4 linked regions of the Caenorhabditis elegans genome follow. The protein of the gene in region 1 interacts with the protein of each later gene in a pairwise test. Each region holds a gene or a part of one and is shown on either strand. Other genes may lie near its edges. The genes, in order: arrd-11, dnj-27, epn-1 and ubql-1.

Region 1 (4,697 bases):
TCTGGAAAATCAACAAATTGCCGGAATTGAAAATTTTTGGAAAATTAACAAATTGCCGGAATTGAAAATTTCTGGAAAATCAACAAATTGCCGGAATTGAAAATTTCTGGAAAATTAACAAATTGCCGGAATTGATAATTTCTGGCAAATCGGAAAACTGCCGGAATTGACAATATCCGGCAAGCGGCAAATTGCCGGAATTGAAATTTCCGGCGAATCGGCAAATTGCCGGAATTGAAAATTTCTGGAAAATGGGTAAATTGCCGGAATTGAAAATTTCTGGAAAATGGGTAAATTGCCGGAATTGAAAATTTCTGGAAAATCAACAAATTGCCGGAATTGAAAATTTCTGGCATATCGACAATTTGCCGGAATTGAAAATTTCTGGAAAATCAACAAATTGCCGGAATTGAAAATTTCTGGAAAATTAACAAATTGCCGGAATTGAAAATTTCTGAAAAATCAACAAATTGCCGGAATTGAAAATTTTTGGAAAATTAACAAATTGCCGGAATTGAAAATTTCTGGAAAATCAACAAATTGCCGGAATTGAAAATTTCTGGAAAATTAACAAATTGCCGGAATTGAAAATTTCTGGAAAATCAACAAATTGCCGGAATTGACAAATTGCCGGAATTGATAATTTCTGGCAAATCGGAAAACTGCCGGAATTGACAATATCCGGCAAGCGGCAAATTGCCGGAATTGAAATTTCCGGCGAATCGGCAAATTGCCGGAATTGAAAATTTCTGGAAAATGGGTAAATTGCCGGAATTGAAAATTTCTGGAAAATGGGTAAATTGCCGGAATTGAAAATTTCTGGAAAATCAACAAATTGCCGGGATTGAAAATTTCTGGCATATCGACAATTTGCCGGAATTGAAAATTTCTGGAAAATCAACAAATTGCCGGAATTGAAAATTTCTGGAAAATTAACAAATTGCCGGAATTGAAAATTTCTGGAAAATCAACAAATTGCCGGAATTGATAATTTCTGGCAAATCGGAAAACTGCCGGAATTGACAATATCCGGCAAGCGGCAAATTGCCGGAATTGAAATTTCCGGCGAATCGGCAAATTGCCGGAATTGAAAATTTCTGGAAAATGGGTAAATTGCCGGAATTGAAAATTTCTGGAAAATGGGTAAATTGCCGGAATTGACAATATCCGGCAAGCGGCAAATTGCCGGAATTGAAAATTTCTGGCATATCGACAATTTGCCGGAATTGAAAATTTCTGGAAAATCGGCAAATTGCCGGAATTGAAAATTTCTGGAAAATCAACAAATTGCCGGAATTGAAAATTTCTGGCATATCGACAAATTGCCGGAATTGACAAATTGCCGGAATTGATAATTTCTGGCAAATCGGAAAACTGCCGGAATTGACAATATCCGGCAAGCGGCAAATTGCCGGAATTGAAATTTCCAGCAAATCGGCTAATTGCCGGAATTGAAAATTTCTGGAAAATTGATAAATTGCCAGAATTGAAATTTCTGGAAAATTGACAAATTTCCGGAATTGAAAATTCCCGGCAAATCGGCAAATTGCTCGACAAAAAAACCTTGCTGATTTTGACTGAACATTTATATTTTTTCTTTTGTGCGTTATTAGTCATTCGGATATAAACATCATTGCTAACAACAATTTTAAAATTCTCTGAGGAATCGGTCGCTATTTAAACAACCAAAATCTGTTTTTGTTCTTGTTCTCTGTGAGTAAATATTGTTATCAGGTTTGATTATTTAACACACACCTGTAAATGAAAATACCCAGTAAGATGTCAACATCTTAATTGATCACTTGTTCTCTCTTCCAACATTTATTTGTTCTATTTTTCTTATGAAATATGAAACATTAAAATTCGTTTAAATTTCCCAATATTCTCCATTTTCAGTGTTCTCTCCACCGATTTTCTTCCGGTTTTTTGAATTTTTTAACGATTTTTTTCCCAATTTCCAGGGTTATCATGCCAGAAACTGAGCTTCATGTGATATTCGACCAACCTAACGAAGTTTTCTTCCCGGGACAACCGATTTCCGGCCGAGTGGTGCTCTCAACGACGGAGGAAAAATACAAGGCTCGGGCGGTGAATATCAAAATTTTGGGATTGGCTCACACTAGTTGGACGGACTACGACAGTGTTCGCAGAGTGTAAAGAATTTCAATTTTCTGTTCAAAAAATATTATTTTTAAAGAAAATTAAAAAAAAAATTTTTTTCGAATAATTAAATATTTATTAAAACTGTAAAATTGTGCCTAAATTAAGTCAGAAAAAGGGGGGGGACCTAAAATTGTCGATGCAACAATCAATATTTTTTAAAGAATGATCTGTAAGGAGTTATAATGTTCCGTAAAAATATTAATTTGATGAAAATTTGAAAAAAAAGTAAAATTAAAAAAAAAAAAAAAAACATTCATAATAAATAATTCAAATAACAAATAATAAAATTTTTTGATAAGCATACATTTTCAGTGACAATGACGGCAATGTGAGGTACGATTCAGAATCGGTTCATTACTCATCGAATGTGCACTACCTGGATCAGGCTCTGCTTCTGTGGGCTTGCAAAGATGGATCGGTAGGAATCTGAAAACATTTAAATTTGAAATTGTATAAATTTTCAGAATGAATTGTCTGCTGGAGATTACGTGTGGCCATTCTCATATACTCTTCCTCTCAACGTTCCGCCAAGCTTTGAGGGAAAATATGGATATTTGAGATACTCGGTGACAGCTGAAGTGGATCGGCCATGGAGATTGGATAAGGCGAAGAGACGGTGCATCACTGGTGAGGCGAGGCGTGGGCGGTCTTCTAATTTTTAGTATTACCGTATTTCCTTTATTAGTAAGACGCCTCGATTAGTTTTGCCCCCTTCGTTCTACAAGTTCAAGTGTCAGGCTGTCCCATTTCAGTTTGATCTACCCCGCATTTTTTGAAGATCAAAAAATAATGGGAGAGCCTGACCCCTCGTGCAAATTAGGAAAACTCGTACACATTTGGTATAACAAGTCGAAATTGGTAAGAAATGAATATGTACAACTCGGACTATTTTGCCTATTACATAGTTATAAAATTATTCGTTCAATTTGGCTCAATGTGTGTTATTCAAATTGATGGTATTGTGCCATAACTTATGGAGAACTTGTTCAAAAACTAGTATCTAAATAGGTCGCCGAAAGTATGCATGCCGTACTAAAAGAGGAAATATTCTATATCCTTTCAGTTTCCCCACTGATCGATCTCAATGCCATTCCCCTCGCACTCACTCCAATCGACGACGAAGAAAGTGAGAACCTGGGCTGCTGCTTCTTCAGAAAAGGTTACCTCGAACTGCGAGTAAACATCCCAAAAACTGGATTCGTACCCGGCGAGACTGTTCCAATGAACATCCATATTCTAAATCACTCCTCCGTGCCCGTCACCGAGGTCAAGGCGAAAATCATTCAGCAGTGCAAATTCATCGCTTATCGAAACGGGACTATTTTCCGATTTGATGGAGGTTCGGATACGCTAATGTCAGGATCTTCGCAGCAAACAAAGTACGACACTAAGCCCGTTATCACGCAGACACAGCCGATGACAGTGACTCCAGGGAATGAGCACAAGTTTGTGCTGGAATTCCGTCTGCCATCTGTAACTCCAACCATCTGTCGGTTCTCCCCGGTGATTACTGTAGAATACGTGGTACAAGTCCGCGTGGAGACCACTTCAACATGCGGGAGTGCTGCTAAGTGTGAAATGCCGATCCTTATAGGAACTGTACCTATTCGAAATTATCTTCCACCACCAATTCCAAACAACTACCCAATTGGCCTGCCACCACCGTATGCTAATCTTACTGATGTGAATGTGCCCTGTCCGAGCGGAGGTAGTGGTACGGCAGTGATTCCAAGTGGTGAGTTATTCAGAATTCCAGAATTATTTTCTAAGATTGAAAGTTTTCAGCTCCACCACCATCCTACCAGGAATCCATGTATGGAGTGGGAGGAACCGAGCTCAGAGCCGAGGAGAACGAAAAACCATTTGCTCCAAAATACCCAGTATTCAATAATTTGCCAATATATAACCCAACGGCGCCACCGTCAGAGTAGCAATTCTTAATCCAACTATGTTTGTTTTGTTATTGGTTAGGGTGCTATGCATAAACTTTCTTGACAGGTTGTTTTTTACTTCAGAAGATTCAAAAAGTCGTAAAATTTGATATGCCAAAATAAAAAATTTGCATTTAATATACACATCAGGCGTGAGCGGGAATTGCTGTTCGGCCAATTTTTTTGTCGACAAATTCAGCAAATCAGTAAATTGCCGGTTTCGCGATTTGCCGGAAATTCTGATCTTCGCCGAATTGCCGATTTGCCGGAAATTTTTAATTCCGACAATTTGCCGATTTACCGGAAATTTTAATTCAGGCATTTTGCCGATTTGCCGGAAATTTTTAATTCCGGAAATTTGCCAATTTGCCGGAAATTTAAAGCTCTGCCAATTTGCCGATTTGCCGGAAATTTCAATTCCGACAATTTGCTGATTGCCGGAAATTTTCATTTTCGGCAATATATATATAAATATATATATTCCACAACTTGCCAGTCTATAACCCAACTGCGCCAGTGCCGGAGTAACCATTTTTTGAGCACATGTTCTGTACAACCTATGGATGATAATTTACTATAATTTACTATAATTTAAATATTTTA
Region 2 (5,025 bases), on another chromosome or scaffold:
ACCTAAAAAGTCGATTTTCATAACAAAATACCTAGAAAATTGTCGAAAACCGGCAAATTTCGGCCTAAATCTACTTTTAGGCAGATTTTAAGTTGAAAAATGCACAAATATTTCTAAAACCTGACAATTCAACGATTTTTTCCTAGAAAAAATCGTCGAAATCGACTTTTTCGACTTTTCAGTATTTTTTCAGTAGAAAAGTTCACAAAAATGTCCGAATTCGACGGAAAATTCAAATTTTTTTTTTCCAGAAAAAGTGCTGATTTTAGCCGAAATTGGGTGGAAAAATCGAAATTTCGACGAAAAAAATCCAATTGCAATTGAAAAACATTGATTTTCGTTCATCGAAGTATCCTCTTTTGTTATTTTCCACTTTTTTCCCGCAGGTATTCTCTCGCCATTCACCAAGACATCACACGAATCCCGGAGACGCAGACAACTGAAGAGACCCACTTTTTGTGTGATTCAAAGGGGTCAACGCATATAGCCGGCCGATTCGTGATGACTCATCTCTGTGTTATTCTATAAATCTCTTGATTTTTTTGAGGATTTAACTCTTTTTTTTCGAAAAAAACGTGTTTTTCCGAATTTTGTATGGTTAAAAGTATCGGAATCACCGTTTTTTGTTGATTTTTTTCTCAATTTTCTTTTTTGTTTGAGTAATGATTAAGAAATAAGAACGGAAAGAAGAGAAGAAACTGTGAAAAATGAGAGAAAATATTTCAAAATCAGGAAAAAAAATCATTTTCCAAATTTTCAGGATATTATGCGGATTATTAGGGTTAGAACACATTTTAAATTATAATTTTAATTATTTTTAACATTGAAAAAACAAAAAATCATCCGAAAACTACTCTTCTTTCACAAAAATCGGTCAAAAATAAAAAATTGCGAAAAAAAAACAAAACAAATTAAATGTAGCAAGCGCGCTCCATTGACAAAATGCCGAAATTTTTGCGAGCGAAGTTTGAATTTCGTTGCAACATGGGGCATTTTTCGTGAAAAACAAGATTTAAAAGAATTTATACTTTATTCTTGCTCAAGAAAATTAATTTTTCCATAAATTCTATTAAAAGTGGCAGTTAAAACAACAATTTCTAAGATTTTTTCACTTTTTTTTTGGCGTTTGCTTGTTTTTCAGAGTTTGGAATAGTTTTATGTCAAATTTTGATTTCTTCTCATTACTTTCTTCATAAAAAAAAATGCAAAAAAGCAAATTTTATCACTAAATCGTTCAATTTCCACCTAGAAAAGACGAATTTAACGCAATTTTCCGATTAGAGCGCATTTGCATTGTGCGGGAAATTCAAATTATTCAAAAATTCTCCTCTAGTTTCCAGTTCTAGTACAATCGGTGGCCGAGTTTTTTTCTTTTTTTTTCCAGCGGCCACATAGCAAGAGCCAACCTGTATACTTTTGCAGTTCTTGTGCAAATCTGAGCTCCGCCGAGCACAAACAAGTTTGGACAGTCCACTTCTCTGCGTCTCTCGTGATGAGTGTGCTCTCTCGTCTAACCTCTAATCCTTCCCAGATATTTGCACATCTACCCCAGTTCCACATAGCCATAAAGACTTGGGTCATTTTTATCGATTTTTTCGGTTTGCTCACAATATTGTGAGTTTCTTAATTAGGTCTTGGTAGCTTTTTGGAGCATTTTGTGACTTTTTATGCCTAAAAACCAGTTTAAATATACTTTTTTAATGCTTAACTAGATCCAAACACCTTTGAAAATTGTCCAAAAAAATTATTTTTTGGCCGAAAATTTCAGTCGAAAAAAGCATTTTTTCGGCCTAAAAAAAATTCCAAAAAAATCCCTAATTTTTTCTGTATCTCCAGAGCCACTTTTTAAGGTATAAATCAGCAAAATTTTCCGATCAAAATTCCATTTCCCTATATCTTTTCCCTCTCTCTATCTCACCCTATCTCGTGCGTTAGCCGACGTTTACTAAGTCCCAGTCAGTTTAATTCTATCAAATTCTTCACTTTTACTTACAGAAAATGAGGGCAATTGTCCTATTATCAGTGTTAATCAGTTGTTATCTGGTGATTGCGGAGGACTATTACGAGTTATTAGGTGTTGAACGAGATGCAGACGATCGGACGATTCGGAAGGCTTTCAAGAAGTTGGCGATCAAGAAGCATCCTGATAGGAATACGGTTGGTTTTGCGGATTTATCTGTTGAGCGGTTAGAGATATAAAAAAGTTGTCAACTTGAAAAATGTGTAAAATTAATTTTTAAACACTTTTCTAGTTGACCACTTTTTTATAGCTCTTCTCTGAGCTGAGAAAAAACGATTTGAAGTTTACAGTCTCATAATTTCACGTTCAGTGTCATATCTTTTTTGTAGTTTGAGATATCAAAAAGTTGTCAACTAACAAAATATTTCCCACTTTATTCTGAGCATTTTAATAGTTGAAAATTTTTTGATAGTGCTGCTCAGAGCTGAGATATTCAGGGTTTTCTCTAGCCTCTCTGCGCTCTCCCCTCCTCCTCTACTCTCTCCCCCTTCTCTCTCACTCTCTACAGAGAGATCTCTAGCGTCTCTCCACACATACCACTATTTCCAGGATGATCCAAACGCCCATGATGAATTTGTAAAAATCAATAAAGCTTACGAAGTCCTGAAGGACGAAAATCTGCGAAAAAAATACGACCAATTTGGAGAAAAAGGACTGGAAGACGGGTTCCAAGGAGGAAATAACTATCAAAGTTGGCAGTTTTATAATGATAATTTTGGAATCTATGATGATGATCAAGAAATTGTGACTCTCAATAGAGCAGACTTTCAACGAATGGTTTCGGATTCAAATGAGATTTGGTTCATCAATTTTTACTCCACTTATTGCTCACATTGTCATCAGCTGGCTCCTACGGTAAGAGAAAAGCGGGTTTTGGAATTTAATGTTTCTATGTGAACATAGAAAAAATTTGGTGCATTTTGAGGCTAAGTTGAGCCAAAAATCTCAAAAATGGAGTGAGATATGAAGTTTTGGAATTTTTTGAAAATTGAACATTTTGCAAAATTTGTTTTTTTTTCAAATTTTGGAAAAATACCTTATTTGAAAGTATTTTTTAAATTTTAAAATTAAAATAATTTGAAGTATTTTAAAGCAAAAATTAGCTGAGAATGTTTAAATTGGACTAAGTTAAGGTAATTTGGAATTCTTTGAAAATTTGAAAAAAACTGACCAAATTTGGAAAAAGTTCAAATTATTGTAAAAATGAATTTCTTGAAAACTGAAATACATAACTTTTGAATATAAATAATGTATACAATTTCAAATTTTTCAGGACAAAAATGAGCCAAAAATCTCAAAAATTGACTGACATACAGTGATTTTTGTGAGATACAGTGATTTGAAATTTTTGGAAAATAATTGCAGAAAGTATTTTTTTCAAATTTTGGAAAAATGCAATTTTTTGAAAGTTTTACAGAAAAATTTCATAAACATATATTAAAATTCAAATAATTTGGAGTATTTTAAAACAAAAACGAGCTGAAAATGTTTAAATTGGACTGAGATACGGTAATTTGAAATTTTTGGACATTTGAAAAAAACTGACCAAATTTGGAAAAAGTTCAAATTATTATAAAAATGAATTTTTTGAAAACTGAGATACATCACTTTTGAATTTAAATAATGTATATAATTTCAAATTTTTCAGGACAAAAATTAGCCAAAAATCTCAAAAATTGACTGACATACAGTGATTCGAAATTTTTGGAAATATTTTTTTTCAAAATTCTGGGAAAACGCTTTTGAATTTTTGTATTGTTTTATTAAAAACAGAATTAATTCCTAAATGTTTCACAAAAAAGATCTAGTTGTAAAAAAATAATTTTAATTTTTTTCGATTTTGAAATAAATTTTTTGAAAAATAAAAAAAAAATTTCAAATCCACCTAACTCTGTCAGTTTTCAAGATTTTTTGCTCATTTTTACTACCAAAAATGCAAAATTTTTCACATTCCAGTGGCGAAAATTCGCGCGTGAAATCGAGGGAACAATCCGTGTGGGTGCTGTGAACTGTGCCGAAGATCCACAGCTGTGCCAATCTCAACGTGTAAATGCCTATCCATCACTTGTGTTCTATCCAACTGGAGAATTCTATCAAGGACATCGTGATGTGGAGTTGATGGTGGATTTTGCGATTCAGCGGCTCAAATCTGAAGTTTTACATTTAAATTCGGAGAATTGGAAGGCGTTGAGCGAGGACTGGGAACCATATAATCGTCTTCCATGGGTTGTTGATATGTGTGGAGGGGATCATATTGATTGCCTGAGCTCTACTACGAGGTAATTGATTTTTTTTATTTTTTGAAAGCCAAGAAAAAGTGCACAAAATTGGTTTTTACAGAACTCAAAAATATTGATTTAGAGCCAAGTTACAAGGGTTTTAAGTTGGTGGCCTAGAAAACTCATTTTTGAAGAAATCGGCCACGTAGCTTATCAACTTTTAGATTCAAAAAAAGTTTGTGTAAATTGGTTTTTATAAAATTCAAAAATATCGATTTAAAGCCAAGTTATAGGCAGTTTAAGTTGATGGCATAGAAATCCTAAAATTTTAAAACCTCGACCACGTATTTTCTAGGCCAATAACTTCTAAATTTGCAGACGAAAGCTCTCCTCAATGCTCGACGGACTTGCCAACGTGGCAACCATTGACTGTAACGCTGAAGAAGCTCTGTGCTCGAAATTCAATCCAATCACGTCAGGAGTAATGTGGTTCCCGGCACGAAAACTAGTGAAAAAGAGCCAAATTAATATTGAGAGCATGGATGCTCAAGAGATTTCAAAGAGTGTTATTCAATATCTTGATGAGCTTGAAGATATTTCAGTGGAGAGCTTGCAGAGGTTATTGGGTGAGTTTTGACAACACTTTTTGCTCATTAGGCTTATGCTTAGGCCTAGGCTTAGGCGTAGACTTAGGCTTGGGCTTGGCGTCAGTGGGGTAACGCTCCCCCACTGACGTTATTTAGGGTTAGGATTACAGCGTTTTTTTCATTTTTCAAAGGGTTCCCG
Region 3 (5,154 bases), on another chromosome or scaffold:
CAGCAGCTCCAGCAACAGCAAATGCAGCAACAGCAGCAACAGCAACAACAACGCCAGCACATGCCACAAGCGCAGAGCAGTTCCCAACAGCACCTCCAATCACGGGCGCGGCCACGACAACAGGATCAGAACGAGTGGAGGAATCAGTTTGAGCTGGATGACACGTTTCAGCAGAAGCAGCGAAAAGTTGATGACTCTGTATCGAATCAGATTTCTAGAAATCAATTCAATCCACAACAGGTGAGATTTTTTTTTGCAATAAAAAAAATGCGCTGCTGCACCCCCCACCCATCATTCAGAAAATGCCAATTATTGAAAATAAATATTTTAGGTATCGATGACGCATGGAAATGTAAATGCTAACAACCGAGAGATGGAGAAACTCGATTACCCGAACAACAAACTCTGAAGCACACAGAGTCTAATAGCTAATTTTTTTGGAAATTCTGTCAATTTGATGTAATGCTTGTTATTTTTTTTTGTTTCTGTGAACAATATGGAGTTAATAAACACTGGTTCAACTTTAGCATTTTTTTATTACTACTGTTGTATTTTCAATTATAAGTTCTCAATTTATCAATTTAAGAGGGTTTTTTTTTTGGAAGTTTTAATTAAAAATATTGGAAACATTTAAAACAAGCATGAATGACGTGTCAACAGAAAAAAAAACCTGTTCAGATATTTCGTAACTTCTCTATTTGCCAATGAGCTATCCTCAACCCAAGCAGCAGCGGGGCATTCGTCACCGACTGCAAAAAAGTACTACATACTAGAAGTTTTTCGTTCAGAATTTTCTTGCAATTTCTGCCATTTCCCCCACCGCCCGTTTGCCACCAATGTCCATCCATCCATTTCGCAACGCGACCAGGAAGATATTATAAATCTTCGACGCCTTTAGCCAATCCCCCCCCCCCCCGTCATCTCCACAGGAAAACCTGTTTTTGTTCTTCTCAAGTTCCATTCGTTTCTCTGTATTCTCTTCATTTTTCGTCCAATTTCATATAACACACCCTTTCCATCCATGTTTCTTTTTTTTTTTTAGGAGGCCCGTTTTCATAGAAAAATGAAGGCATTTGGAAATGCGAAATACATGTGTATGCATGTGTGTATACGTTTGTTTGCCGCTCTTCCAGTCCTAATCTGTGAACACCTTCAGGCAGCGACGGATAGTAGCACACACTATCAAAAACTGATACTCACTGACTACCCCTTCTTCTCTTTTCATCAATCATTCAGCCCAGCACACACTCACTCACTGAAACGAAGCAAATAATCTCGTGACTTTGCGAACTCACTAGCTTAATTTCTTTCTTTTCTGACCACCGTGCGCTGCCACTGTGTCTCTCGCACTATCCGGCTCCTTTTTCTCTGCGCACTCTTTTCTCTGGGGGACACTTCTAACCATCTGCGTCTCACTGCAAATGGTGCTCTCTAGCACGCGCACTGACACTCGTGCGCTCACTGTGCGCTGTTGCACGCGCGCGGCGCGCGTTCGCCTCGAGGAGAAATACTCTCGCGCTCAACACTCAACACTCACAGATACACACACAGACACAGACACAAAACGCATGCGACGCGCGCAAAAAGACCACACACACACACACACATATATATTCACTCACAAAAGACTCACCCTCTCCAAACCTCACTCATTCGCCTCTCTGTCTTTCTTTCATTTTCTCTCTCTCTCAAATATGCATTGTACATGCGCGATTCTATTGGATCGTTTCTTATCAATTTCTATGTTTTAGCCACACCATTCAGCCACATCATCCCTCTTGCCAGTTGGCATTTTTGTAGTTCTCTGTTCAGTTTATTTGATTGGGCATAATCTTATCCATGTGATGTTTCCTTTTCAGTCAATGGTCATTCGTTGTATAATTTTGATTTCTGCCTTTGCATCTCTTTAACTTTTTTTATTTTCAGGCGGGGAGCAAACATGTCGATTTCGACGATTCGCCGGCAAGTGAAGAACGTCGCCTATAATTTCTCGGATGCACAAGTAAAGGTTCGCGAAGCCACAAGCAACGATCCATGGGGACCATCCACAGCGCTCATGTCCGAAATTGCCGACTTGACGCACAATCCAATGGCGTTCACTGAGATTATGTCAATTGTTTGGAAGCGATTAAATGATTCTGGCAAAAACTGGCGACACGTGTACAAAAGTCTGGTGCTTCTCGATTTTCTCATCAAATGCGGCCACGAGAAGGTAATGGTTTTCTGACTCATATGCATTATCGATTTTTTTTCGCATTGCAGGTCGCGCAACAATGCAGAGAGAACGTGTTCACCATTGAAACACTCAAGGATTTCCAGCATGTGGAAGACAATCGGGATCAGGGCTTGAACATTCGAGAGAAAGCAAAGCAGATCACTTCACTGCTCTCCGACGATGAACGCTTGAAAAACGAAAGAACACGCTTCATCCTCACAAGAAACAAATTCAAGCAAAACAATCCAGGACCGGTTGGAGCGGAAAGTCGTCGCAGCAATCGTCATCATGTCACCGACGCGTCTCTTGGTAAGATATAAATATCATATTGAAATAGCAGCGCGGATACTTCCCCACAACAACTCTGCTCAATTAAATTTTTTTAGACCCCGAGTACGAAGATGCTCGTCCATCTACCGCCACCGAGGAAGAGATGCAGCTTCAAATTGCTCTTGCTCTTTCACGAGAGGAATGCGAAAAGGCCGACGAGATGCGCAAGAGCGATGATGCTCGCCTTCAAATGGCTCTGGAAGAGTCGCAAAAGGTTTGTTTAGAAACCCACCATATTCCGTCTTCCCATTAACCCCTTATAGCTTCAGGATGCCGATCGCCTCGCAACGACCAAGCAAGGTACCGTGAGCAGCGGACAATTAACCCAATCCGCTCTTGACGACCTGCTTTCGTTGGGTGTTGGTGAGCTGGTCAGTGGAAACAACGATCAACCATCGTCATCGTCGGCTTGGGGAATGAATGATCCATGGGGTGCTCCACAAGCTTCTGCCTCTCTCAACACAAACGATCAAATGTTTGCTAACTCGATGTCCAACAACGATCCATGGGCTACATCGACAGTTGCTCAACCAGTTGCCGCTACCGCTCCAAACTCTGATCCGTTTGCTTCTTGGGATGCACCGGCTCCAGCTGCAACTACTCCATCAACAATGCCAACGAGCAGTTCGTTTGATCTTCTCGGAGGAGATGTAAGATCTATTTTCAGTCATTCCGTAGATTCTGTATATTTATTTATTTCAGCTGCTCTCCCCAACTAACTCATTGAGCGCCAACATCAACACTAACAACTCCACAAATGGTACCAGAAAGACTCCAGAAAACTTCCTTGGGGAGAACTCTAACCTTGTCAACTTGGACAACTTGCTGGGAAGCGGAACTCCAAGCACCACAGGTCAGTACAACCAAATTTATTTTCAGATTGGTGCTATTTTGTGCTACTGCTCTGTGTTTGTTTGTGTCATCCCTCTTAAACTCGTGCTCACACCTTTACGGCAGAAGCGCCGCTGATATCAAAATCAGCTGATAAGATGTGATGTCGTAAAGGGCACAATTTTGAAAGCGCGAACGCACTGGCGCAATAAAAAAAACTGATAATGATTGAATGTTCTACATTTTTTTTCAGGTGGAAACCCATTCCTTACCGGAGCCGCTCCAGCGAACGCCAATCCATTTGCTGCTCAACAACGAAAGTCTCCGACATTGAATGAGATGCGTGCTGCTCAAGGACAGGCCCCTCCAATTCCATCGATGGCTCCACGTGGGACACTTCCACAAGCCAATCCATTTGCAAATCCTTTCTAAACAGTCCGGGCAATTGGTCTTTACTGTGAAACTACCTATTCTAATCAGCTTTGATATATTTCTGTCAAAAACGAAACTCACTCTCATATACACTCACCACGTTTTTCCCCCGCGCCTCCTTTACAATTTCTTCTTCAATTCATGTTTGTGAAGCCCGAAGATAAATTAAACTTTGTAATTTATGATACTTATATGTCGATTATTTGTATAATCTATTTATATCTATTGCAAGCCTATCCTCCTTTTACAGCCTGTCATTGCTTGTTTGCATCTTCTCCATCCCATCCCCACTAACTTGTCATCCTCCTTTGGCTAAACTTGACTCTTTTTTTTTGAAGTAATTGTTGGTGACGGTTCAAACATTTCGTCCCCACCCATTTGCCTTCTCTTCTCCCAAAATTTTTGGGAATTATTTTATACTTTTTCTGTACAATTTTCGTCTCCCGCAACTTGTCTTGAATTAAACCGTTATAAAACGATACGATTGATGAAGTTGAGTTGTTCAATTTCTTCACTCTTTTTTTCTTTTTTGGCTCCACCCTTTCCTTCAAGTTTTCCCACATCTTTTTTTTCTTCGTGTGTATGGTATTTTTTGTAGCGTGTCTGATTGAAGGAAGTCTTCTTTTTTTTTCTCTTTATTTTCTTTGGTTGCTTCTAAATAACATCATATCAAGCAAATGCTGTCGACTAACAGTAATTTGGAGACATAACATTTTTTAGGAGATGCATATGACTTCCCACATTAAAACAAACAACAAAATTAACACAACTTCTACTGAAAAATATTTTTTTTTTCAAATGAATAAACAATCTTATCATTTTTAAATTTTTGATAAATCATTATTAGTATTTCATGTTTTTGATGACCGCAAATGCTACTTTAGACACGAAAAAGCCATCCATCGGAAATTTGGGGAACAATTGCAGGAAATTGAATATAAAAAGCACGAGAGCACTTATCCGGAATGAAATTGGCGGAAAAGGTTATGAACAATGGTTCAGAGGGGTTATCGCATTTATTGGAAGAAAAAATGGGTGAACAAGGGATGGCCTAGAAGTTATTGTTGGAAGAATGTGAAATTGTGTTTTTTTTTTCAGGAAAGGGGTCAAACCTATTTTTAATGTTCTGAACAAAATAGGGCAAGTGAAAAACGCTTAAAAAGCTCCTTCCTCCATTAGTCACGCAAGCCTAATTTTTAATTGATCCGGATTACACACTTTTGCAATATTTAATCGGCTTTTTGAACACTTTCATTCATAATTTACTCAAAAAATGGTGGTTTTACAGAAAGTTTCGTTTGTCTTTCAAGCAAAAAAAAGGTCAGTGCAATACCGATAAAAGTTTT
Region 4 (7,945 bases), on another chromosome or scaffold:
TGAGAATTCTTAAAGGGGGGCTGGATTCCTATTACTAAACCGTGGTTCAAATCTTTGTTTCTTTTTTTTTACAATCTTCAACTTCAAAAACATAATCTTTTGTTTCATTTACTACCATATCGCACTCGTTTGTGGTATAGATAAAACTGTTTGCTACGCGACTGGTGTTTTTGCTCTTATCGTTAATTGATGTCCGTATTCTGTAGAGTAAAGACCTGACAACAAACAGTGATTTGATGCGTGGGAAAATGTAAATGTCGAGCCGATCTCATTGTCAATGGCCTTTTGAATACACAATAACCATTTTGGACCAGCATACATAATATATATGACGGACAAATGTTTCTATATGCATAAGGACTAGAACAATAAATTCAAAGAATCCTTTGTATGCATTTCATATATTTCTATTCAATGTGGCTTTCGTTGCTGTTTTATCAGCTTTCGCGTATTTGTCAGTGTCACTGCGATCGATATATGAGCGATGGCTGTGTAAATAAGTATGGTTATCTTACCTTGACGAGAGCGACTGGTGGATCGTTAGATGCGAGTTTTGGGGCAGCTCTCTCATACTCTGGGGCAATTTTCTTGCAGTGTCCGCACCAGGGAGCGTAGAACTTGACAAGAGCAATGTCGTGGGTTTGGATGAGATCATCGAAGTTTCCGTCGGTATACTCGAGAACGGCTCCTCCAGCACTGGCGAACGCCAGGAAGGAGGCGACCAAAGCTGCCTGGACCCAAATCATTACCTAAAAACTTTACCTATAAACGACAATCGATCGAGTGAGTTTAGAGGGCGAGAGATTATCGGGAACACCGACAAAAAGTTAAAAACTAAGAAACAAGATTAGAGGTTTTCAGATTATTCAGAAATATTTTCTAGAAATTGAGCGAACGATTGAAGAGAAGGGAAGGTGTTTTCGCAATTAACAAACCGCGATCGCATCGAAAACGTGAGCCGCTTGACGCGAAACGTGTTTTCGTGGCGAGATACCGCGAGCGGTAAAATCAATGCGCCTTTACTTTATTTATTTTTTTTTCGCATTTATTTTCATTCTTTTCTGTGAATCACATGTGAATGGACAAATACAGATTGTTTCGGGTTCAATTTTAAGTATTTACAAACACTTTTCAAAAATTATCTTTAATAAGTGGAAAATACAGTTAGTAAATAACTATAAATTTTAAGCTTAGAAGAAGAAAGCCAAAAAACATGTGTTGTATGGAGGAGAAATTTTATATAGACTCGGGGAGCGTTATATCACTTTTAATGATATTATTACTAATAATCCAGAAAATGCAGAGCAGAAGCATAAAAATAGACCCGAATTGTTAAGGTCCACGTGGCGCTCGTGTGTACACCAGGGATTGGTAGGAACTGAGCCAAAAACACGTCGTTCACTGCCTGTCGCACGCGTGTTGTGTGCCGATTGGCCTCATTCTTGTGAGAACTCCGCCCAATGGGTCTCGCACGGAAGAGGCGACCATCATGTGTCGATTTACGCAACTACCGCATCATTTTATTGATCATTGTTTTTTATTCATTTTATGACCTGATATAGAAGGAATCGACGTTAAATTGGAAGGCAAATTGATTGGAGCGCCATTTAGAACTTTAATTTCTTATTTTTATTGTAAATTTGAATCGATAAAAGGAACAAAAAGATCACCATGGAAACCAAATTAGTCATCACGTGCATATTGAAGCTCGCGCGTCAGGAAGAATTGTGTCTTCGTTTATCTTCGTTTATTTTCTATCGAAGAGACCCATTACATTATTACATTATTCGGTCTGAAATAGTTGCGAAATTTCTTTTTGCGCTTCGAGAATATTCTCGATTTATCGATGCAACGTGTTCTTTTCCGTCTCCGCCTCTCATTCTCTCAATCCTTTTTCTTTATTTAATTTTGTCGGTTTTTTAATATTTCTCAAATTTAAGATGGCTACAGAGAGTGCACTCATCAAAGTTCACGTGAAATCACCGTCGAACAAGTATGACGTTGAGATTGCTGCGGATGCATCAGTTTCAGAAGTATGTTATATTTTATTTAAAAAATAAAATTTTGCTCTTGAGAATTAGATAAAAATTCAAGTGATTATTCCATTTTGATAAATTAAATGTGTAAATCACAGTGTTTAATTAATATTTTACAGCTAAAAGACAAGGTTCTTGTGTTCGTTCCAACTGCGAACAAAGAACAAGTTTGTATAATTTACACCGGAAAAATTCTGAAGGATGAAGAAACTCTCACACAGCACAGTAAGTTGAAAAATGTGTTCCAAAAAATAATAAACAAAAATTTAGAAATCGCTGATGGTCACACCGTCCACTTGGTTATTAGAAATCAAGCCCGTCCAACACCAGCGCCGGCTGCTGCAACACCAACAGCTTCATCTGCACCAAGTTCCAATCCAACACCTTCTTCACAACCGAATCCTACCAATAATCCATTTGCAGCAATGGGAGGAATGGGATCACCTGCTGATATTTTAAACAATCCAGATGCTATGCGTTCAGTTATGGATAATCCAATTACACAACAACTTCTAGGAAATCCAGAGTTTATGAGAACAATTATTCAATCCAACCCACAATTCCAAGCATTGATTGAGGTTCGAGTTTTTCCTGGATATTTGTTTTGTAAATTTTCGGATTCGAAAAATTATTTAATTTTTTAATCTTCCACATTTCTCTCGTATATCGACAATAAATATTTTCAGAGAAATCCAGAAGTTGGACACATTCTCAACGATCCGAATGTAATGCGTCAAACTATGGAGATGATTCGTAATCCAAATATGTTCCAAGAAATGATGCGGAATCATGATCAAGCTATTAGGAATCTTCAGGTACATTATATATAGCTATGCTGATCAAGGGATGCCATTTTTCAATTTTTCAATGTTTTCAGCGAAAATCGAAACATCGAAGAAAAAAAGTCCAGAAAATTATCAATAAAATTTGATTTTTATCAAGTTGTGTGACACACAACTTGTGTCATATATGTTGGTGACAAAAAACATACGAAGACATTTTAATGTTATCTAACAATTGTCTAAAAAAAAGAAAAATTACCAAAATTTAATACCATTTTTTAAAAATTGAAAAAGTCGGTTTTTTCTCTCTAAAATCGAAAAACGAAAAATTCTGATTTTTCAGTTTTAGTTTTAAAAAATCGATCAAGGATGCCGATCTAAATGTCTAAATATGACTATTAAAAGTAATTAATTGTTATTTTAATTGATATGGCAAAAAATTGCTAATTTTTTTTTAATATCAGGGGTACATTTCTGGAAACTATATATTCCATCCCAGCCGCGCTACAGGGGTTTTTGTCTTGAATTCCAATTTCAACAGATTTTCCTTTTTTTCGGTTGGATTTGTTATTTTATGTTGAAACATTCAATTTTCAGGGAATTCCCGGAGGAGAAGCTGCTCTTGAACGGTTGTACAATGATGTACAGGAGCCCTTGCTCAATAGTGCAACAAATTCGCTCAGTGGAAATCCATTTGCTTCTCTAAGAGGTGATCAGAGCAGTGAGCCACGTGTCGATCGTGCTGGACAAGAAAATAATGAAGCTCTGCCAAATCCATGGGCTTCAAACGCCAATCAAGCTACCAATAATCAATCGAATAATCGTTCTGCTGACTTTAATTGTAAGTTTTTCTGAGTCAAATTTCTCTAAGTAAAAAAAAATCTTACATTAAAATCATATAATAATCAATGACGAGTGGCAAATGCCAAATATCAATTTGCCGAAAAAATTAAAAAATTGTAAATGTGAAAAAAGATTTTCAGCAATGTATTTTTGAACATTTTCCTTAAAAAATTTCCAACAAAAATTTCAAAACGACAAATTTCCAATTCGCCCAATTTTACGTCTGCCGCCCACCATTTATTATAATTTTAAACAAAATATTTAAACGTCACGAATATCCTCATAGTTTAGTGATCCGTTAATAATGTTTTAATTCATATTCAGCATTGCTTGATTCACCTGGCATCAGCTCCCTAATGGAGCAGATGATGTCCAATCCAAGTATGCAGGCCAGTATGTTCAGCCCAGAAGTCATCAATTCAATTCGTCAAAATATGTCAAACAATCCTGGACTCATTGATTCCGTTAGTTTCATTTTTAAAAAATTTAAAATAATTATGTAAGTTCAGATTGTTGGACAAATTCCATCGGCTCGTGATAACCCACAGATTTCCGAAGGAATTCGTAGAAGTTTTCCACAAATGCTCAACATGGTTTATTTTCTAAATTTTTACAAAAATTTATATTTCAAAATTTCAGATGTCTGATCCATCTGTGATGGAGGCAATGAGAAACCCACGGGTCAGTGAAGCATTCCGTCAAATTCAAGAGGGATTTTCAACTCTTCGCAGAGAAGCACCTCAACTTTTGAAGTATTTGAAAATACCATTTAGTCAAAAACTATTTAAAATTATTTTAGCCTTTTCCAAGCTGGAGCAATGGGAGGTGGAGCATTCGGTTCTGATGCCAATGCATCTTCTGCTGGGTTCGTTGATAGTTTTTATAGCTGATAGTTTTTTCTCATTTCAGAGCAAACTCTGCAAACGGACTTGCCGATTTATTCAATTCAATGAATATGGGAGGAGGAAGAGTGAGTATATTGAATATTTGATTTCTTATGTCACTTCTTATGGGAGCAGAGGTGATTATTTTCAAGTTCGGCCTTCTCGAATTGTCTAGAAAAAAAAATATTCAGAGTGAAATAACGAGATAATAAGATTTTATGAACTGAAAAAGAGAAAATTTCTATTTAAAAAGCTAAAAAAAAAGCATTACTACTGTAGAAATCAGTTTTTCTTATTTTTTATTCATTGCAAAATTTGAAAACTCGACAATAGCCTATTTTTGGATTGTGAATTTATCGAAGTGGTAAAATTTTTTTAATCGGCAATTGCCAAAACTTTCTATTGTCTGTATGATAGTTATTGAAACATCATGGGTTCAAAGAACTTTTTCAGCTAATTGAACTATTTTAAGCTTTCCTTTCTAATTCAATCGACAGATCGATTTAGAATAATATCACCGAATCCAATAATTTCCCATAGTATAGTTTTTTTTATACTTCCCTCTCGATTCCGTGGTCTTTTGAATTTTCCAAATTGAAATGAAAATTTGGATGATTAGTTGAAGCCTCACATCAAATGAAGTTCCCCCTTCATTTCATATATCAAAGTTTTTGCTCAAATTTAGAAGCTGATGAGTTGCGCCGAGTCGCCGTTTGCTCTGTGACAGCGACGGAAGTGCGCGAGCAAGAAAGAAGAAGTCATCGTGTGTCTGTTCTGAATAATGTAACAAGACGATGCTCCGTCTTCTGCTTCTTCTGTGCCGTCGTCGCTGAGCAGAAGCAAAAGTCGGCTCGTTTGACATGCTATGGATAAATGTTAGATAATGAGTATAAAGTGACGAAGACGATGGCAAACTGATGACAGCGTGCACGATCGAAAATCTTTTCCTGTTTGCTCAGAAAATGCAATTATCATATCGAATTTCATTTAGACCCCGGTGGCGTATCTAAAATTGTTTCGAAATTCTGATGTCTCGGCCCTTTCTACAGACAGAATATACTCTTAGAAAAGAGAAGTGTGGGAGATTTATCATGAGTTCCCCCAGTGAAAGAGGAAGGCCCCTCATTTCCTTGTCTTTTAATTTTTGATGATTGTTAGACGAAACAATTTGAATTGGAAACAAAAGCAATAATTTCTGCATTTTTCGTTTTCATCACTTGACATAGGAAGTGTGAAAGGCGGGCATCTTATCCATACGAATAGATCAGATTTTTTAATTTTCGTCGACGTTGCACTACTGGACCGAATGCTCTCGCATCACACAACACATTGTTGGCACATACATGTTATATGTCATTTTACATTTTCGATTAATTTTGTTCAATACCAAAACGTGGATGAGTGTGTGTATGTATGTGCATTGCCCACATAAAATGATATTAGTAGGCGCACATAAAAACGTTGATCGACAAAGGCTCGTCTCTTCACATAAATATTACACATTTCACAGCAAAAAAAACTATGTTCAATAATCAGATCTTTTTTGGGATGAGAGGGCAACACAAAAGCTGAAAGGAAACTTTCTTATCACAGAACCTTCAATTTTAGTAGATGTGATCTTCACTACATTAGGGGTTATTTGTACGCACAATGCCAAATTTTCGGAAAGTTGAGCTTTTTGTAAAGTTTAGAGCATTATTCCATGTTCGACACCCTAAAATGTTTTAATACAAAAAATTAAATTATAATACTTGAATAATTGCCTATTTTCGGTCGAATTCCAAAATTAAAATAGGTGGTATCTAGGTAGTTGCCAATTTCGACTGCAAATTAGGAAACTTGATTTTTCGAGAAGTTTTACTACGATATCTGATCTATATTTCTTTTTTCTTCGGCCCCTTTAATAAGCAAATCAGTGTTGCTCTTTTTGCTTCCCGCAATTGTTAGGAGCACATGTTTTGTGGCATATTTAGGATGCGCGACGACGTATTTGCACACACACACACACACACATTCCACGGATCGGATGTCACTATAATCTCATCTTGTAAGCGGTTACGCTGCTATCAAATTTATCCCGTATGTTTCAAGCAATTGGCCACAACATTTGTTCTCCCCCTTTTTGTTATAACTGCTGCTGCAGCTTTTGTCTCATTAGATGATTGTTTTGACGACATTTGCATAGATCATAGTAAACGATGTGTCTCCAGGAATATTGTGTAATGGAATAGTGCGCGAGGTTGGTGCGCATGATGAGAGCAGATAGGAAAAAGGACGGCGACGTTCCCCTTTTATTCATTCAACAATTGTCTAATCGGCGATTGTGTGGAACACGCGCCGTGCCATACACGTATTTCATTTCATAAAGAGGCAGCTGGCGAACATCTTCCGGTCTTCTCGTTTCCCGCCTTTTTTGTTAAGATGAGCCGATGCAAATGATATTCGAAGTGATTAGTAGTGGAGTCTATTAGGAGCCGACGTCCGAAACGATGGGATGATCTGTTCAGTGGCAAAACACTTAGTGTCTTTTGAATAGGCATTCGATTGGTTTTCTTGTTCTTACAATAGACAGATGGCTGGTTGCATGGGAAACAGTTCTTTCGAACACCTGTATCAAACCTGTGATATAGTTATTTTATAGTAGAACATCGCTTCTCTTGCTCAGATCATATTGAAACCTTGATTTTTGCATTAAGGATAAACAATAAATTCAAATATCTAAAATTGTTTCTCCTTTAAAGTAGTTCCCTTAAAATTACGATAGCTAAATCCGAAACATAGTCCAATCATTTCTTCTCATTAATTAGTATGTTGATGGAATTGTAGGGACATGTGTAGAGAGTGGAGGACACGTTGTATCACTTAATGCATGTTGTCGAACTCGTCAAAGTATGGTGTAATGCATAAATCGAATGAACGGAAAGATGCGGTAGTGCTGGTCACAATAGGAAGAAGAACAAGAGGGGTCCCATGCAAAAACACATATGACGCGTCGATTCGTCCAACTGCTCCTCTTCCTGTCTCTGTTATTATTGAGAACAACACACTCATAGATATAAATGCACAGATACTCGTTGTTCGCGCACTCATTTGTTTCGAAACATGACAAGCAAAATGCGTTTTTAGAAGATAAACATCGTAGCACTGACTCGTAATATGTAATGAACAATTAAGAAGCAGCTCTACGCATGCTATGTGCATTTCCCTCATGTTTTCAAAATTGCCTATTCTCAGAGGAAATGTTAATTTGTGTCTGTGTGGGTATGTATGTGCATCATTTCAATCAAGTGCTCCGCTCTCCTATAGACCATATTTTTTGTTTCTTGGGAATAGATTTTGGAATGATTGCCTTCCAAATACAAAGATGGATGGATTTGGAATTGAGCCTCTAGCACAACAA

The links.
Region 2: the proteins of arrd-11 (region 1) and dnj-27 interact in a two-hybrid assay, tested with the Caenorhabditis elegans proteins (one large-scale study listed by BioGRID).
Region 3: the proteins of arrd-11 (region 1) and epn-1 interact in a two-hybrid assay, tested with the Caenorhabditis elegans proteins (one large-scale study listed by BioGRID).
Region 4: the proteins of arrd-11 (region 1) and ubql-1 interact in a two-hybrid assay, tested with the Caenorhabditis elegans proteins (one large-scale study listed by BioGRID).

What each region holds. Positions count from the first base shown.
Region 1 is NC_003280.10:13,761,459-13,766,155, forward strand, and holds arrd-11 (Arrestin C-terminal-like domain-containing protein), read left to right. Parts: upstream 1-1,959; 5' UTR 1,960-1,968; coding exon 1,969-2,153; intron 2,154-2,475; coding exon 2,476-2,581; intron 2,582-2,627; coding exon 2,628-2,790; intron 2,791-3,226; coding exon 3,227-3,898; intron 3,899-3,948; coding exon 3,949-4,094; 3' UTR 4,095-4,184; downstream 4,185-4,697.
Region 2 is NC_003279.8:11,875,808-11,880,832, forward strand, and holds the start of dnj-27 (DnaJ homolog subfamily C member 10), read left to right. Parts: upstream 1-1,995; 5' UTR 1,996-1,998; coding exon 1,999-2,157; intron 2,158-2,201; exon of another isoform or gene 2,202-2,272; intron 2,273-2,353; exon of another isoform or gene 2,354-2,431; intron 2,432-2,487; exon of another isoform or gene 2,488-2,567; intron 2,568-2,569; coding exon 2,570-2,875; intron 2,876-3,976; coding exon 3,977-4,299; intron 4,300-4,617; coding exon 4,618-4,865; intron 4,866-5,025.
Region 3 is NC_003284.9:14,815,280-14,820,433, reverse strand, and holds epn-1 (ENTH domain-containing protein), read left to right. Parts: upstream 1-1,919; 5' UTR 1,920-1,939; coding exon 1,940-2,212; intron 2,213-2,262; coding exon 2,263-2,524; intron 2,525-2,601; coding exon 2,602-2,759; intron 2,760-2,808; coding exon 2,809-3,195; intron 3,196-3,247; coding exon 3,248-3,398; intron 3,399-3,629; coding exon 3,630-3,808; 3' UTR 3,809-4,629; downstream 4,630-5,154. Other genes in the region: Dual specificity tyrosine-phosphorylation-regulated kinase mbk-1, read left to right, coding at 1-240, 332-409.
Region 4 is NC_003279.8:7,020,042-7,027,986, forward strand, and holds the start of ubql-1 (Ubiquilin), read left to right. Parts: upstream 1-1,940; coding exon 1,941-2,033; intron 2,034-2,155; coding exon 2,156-2,261; intron 2,262-2,306; coding exon 2,307-2,614; intron 2,615-2,722; coding exon 2,723-2,851; intron 2,852-3,415; coding exon 3,416-3,659; intron 3,660-3,985; coding exon 3,986-4,125; intron 4,126-4,170; coding exon 4,171-4,254; intron 4,255-4,300; coding exon 4,301-4,413; intron 4,414-4,460; coding exon 4,461-4,526; intron 4,527-4,570; coding exon 4,571-4,631; coding exon of another isoform or gene 4,632-4,652; exon of another isoform or gene 4,653-4,682; intron 4,683-7,945. Other genes in the region: pdi-3 (Protein disulfide-isomerase), read right to left, coding at 516-746. UniProt on the Caenorhabditis elegans protein: May play a role in the ER-associated protein degradation pathway (ERAD) possibly via its interaction with ER-localized proteins ubxn-4 and cdc-48.1 and/or cdc48.2, providing a link between the polyubiquitinated ERAD substrates and the proteasome.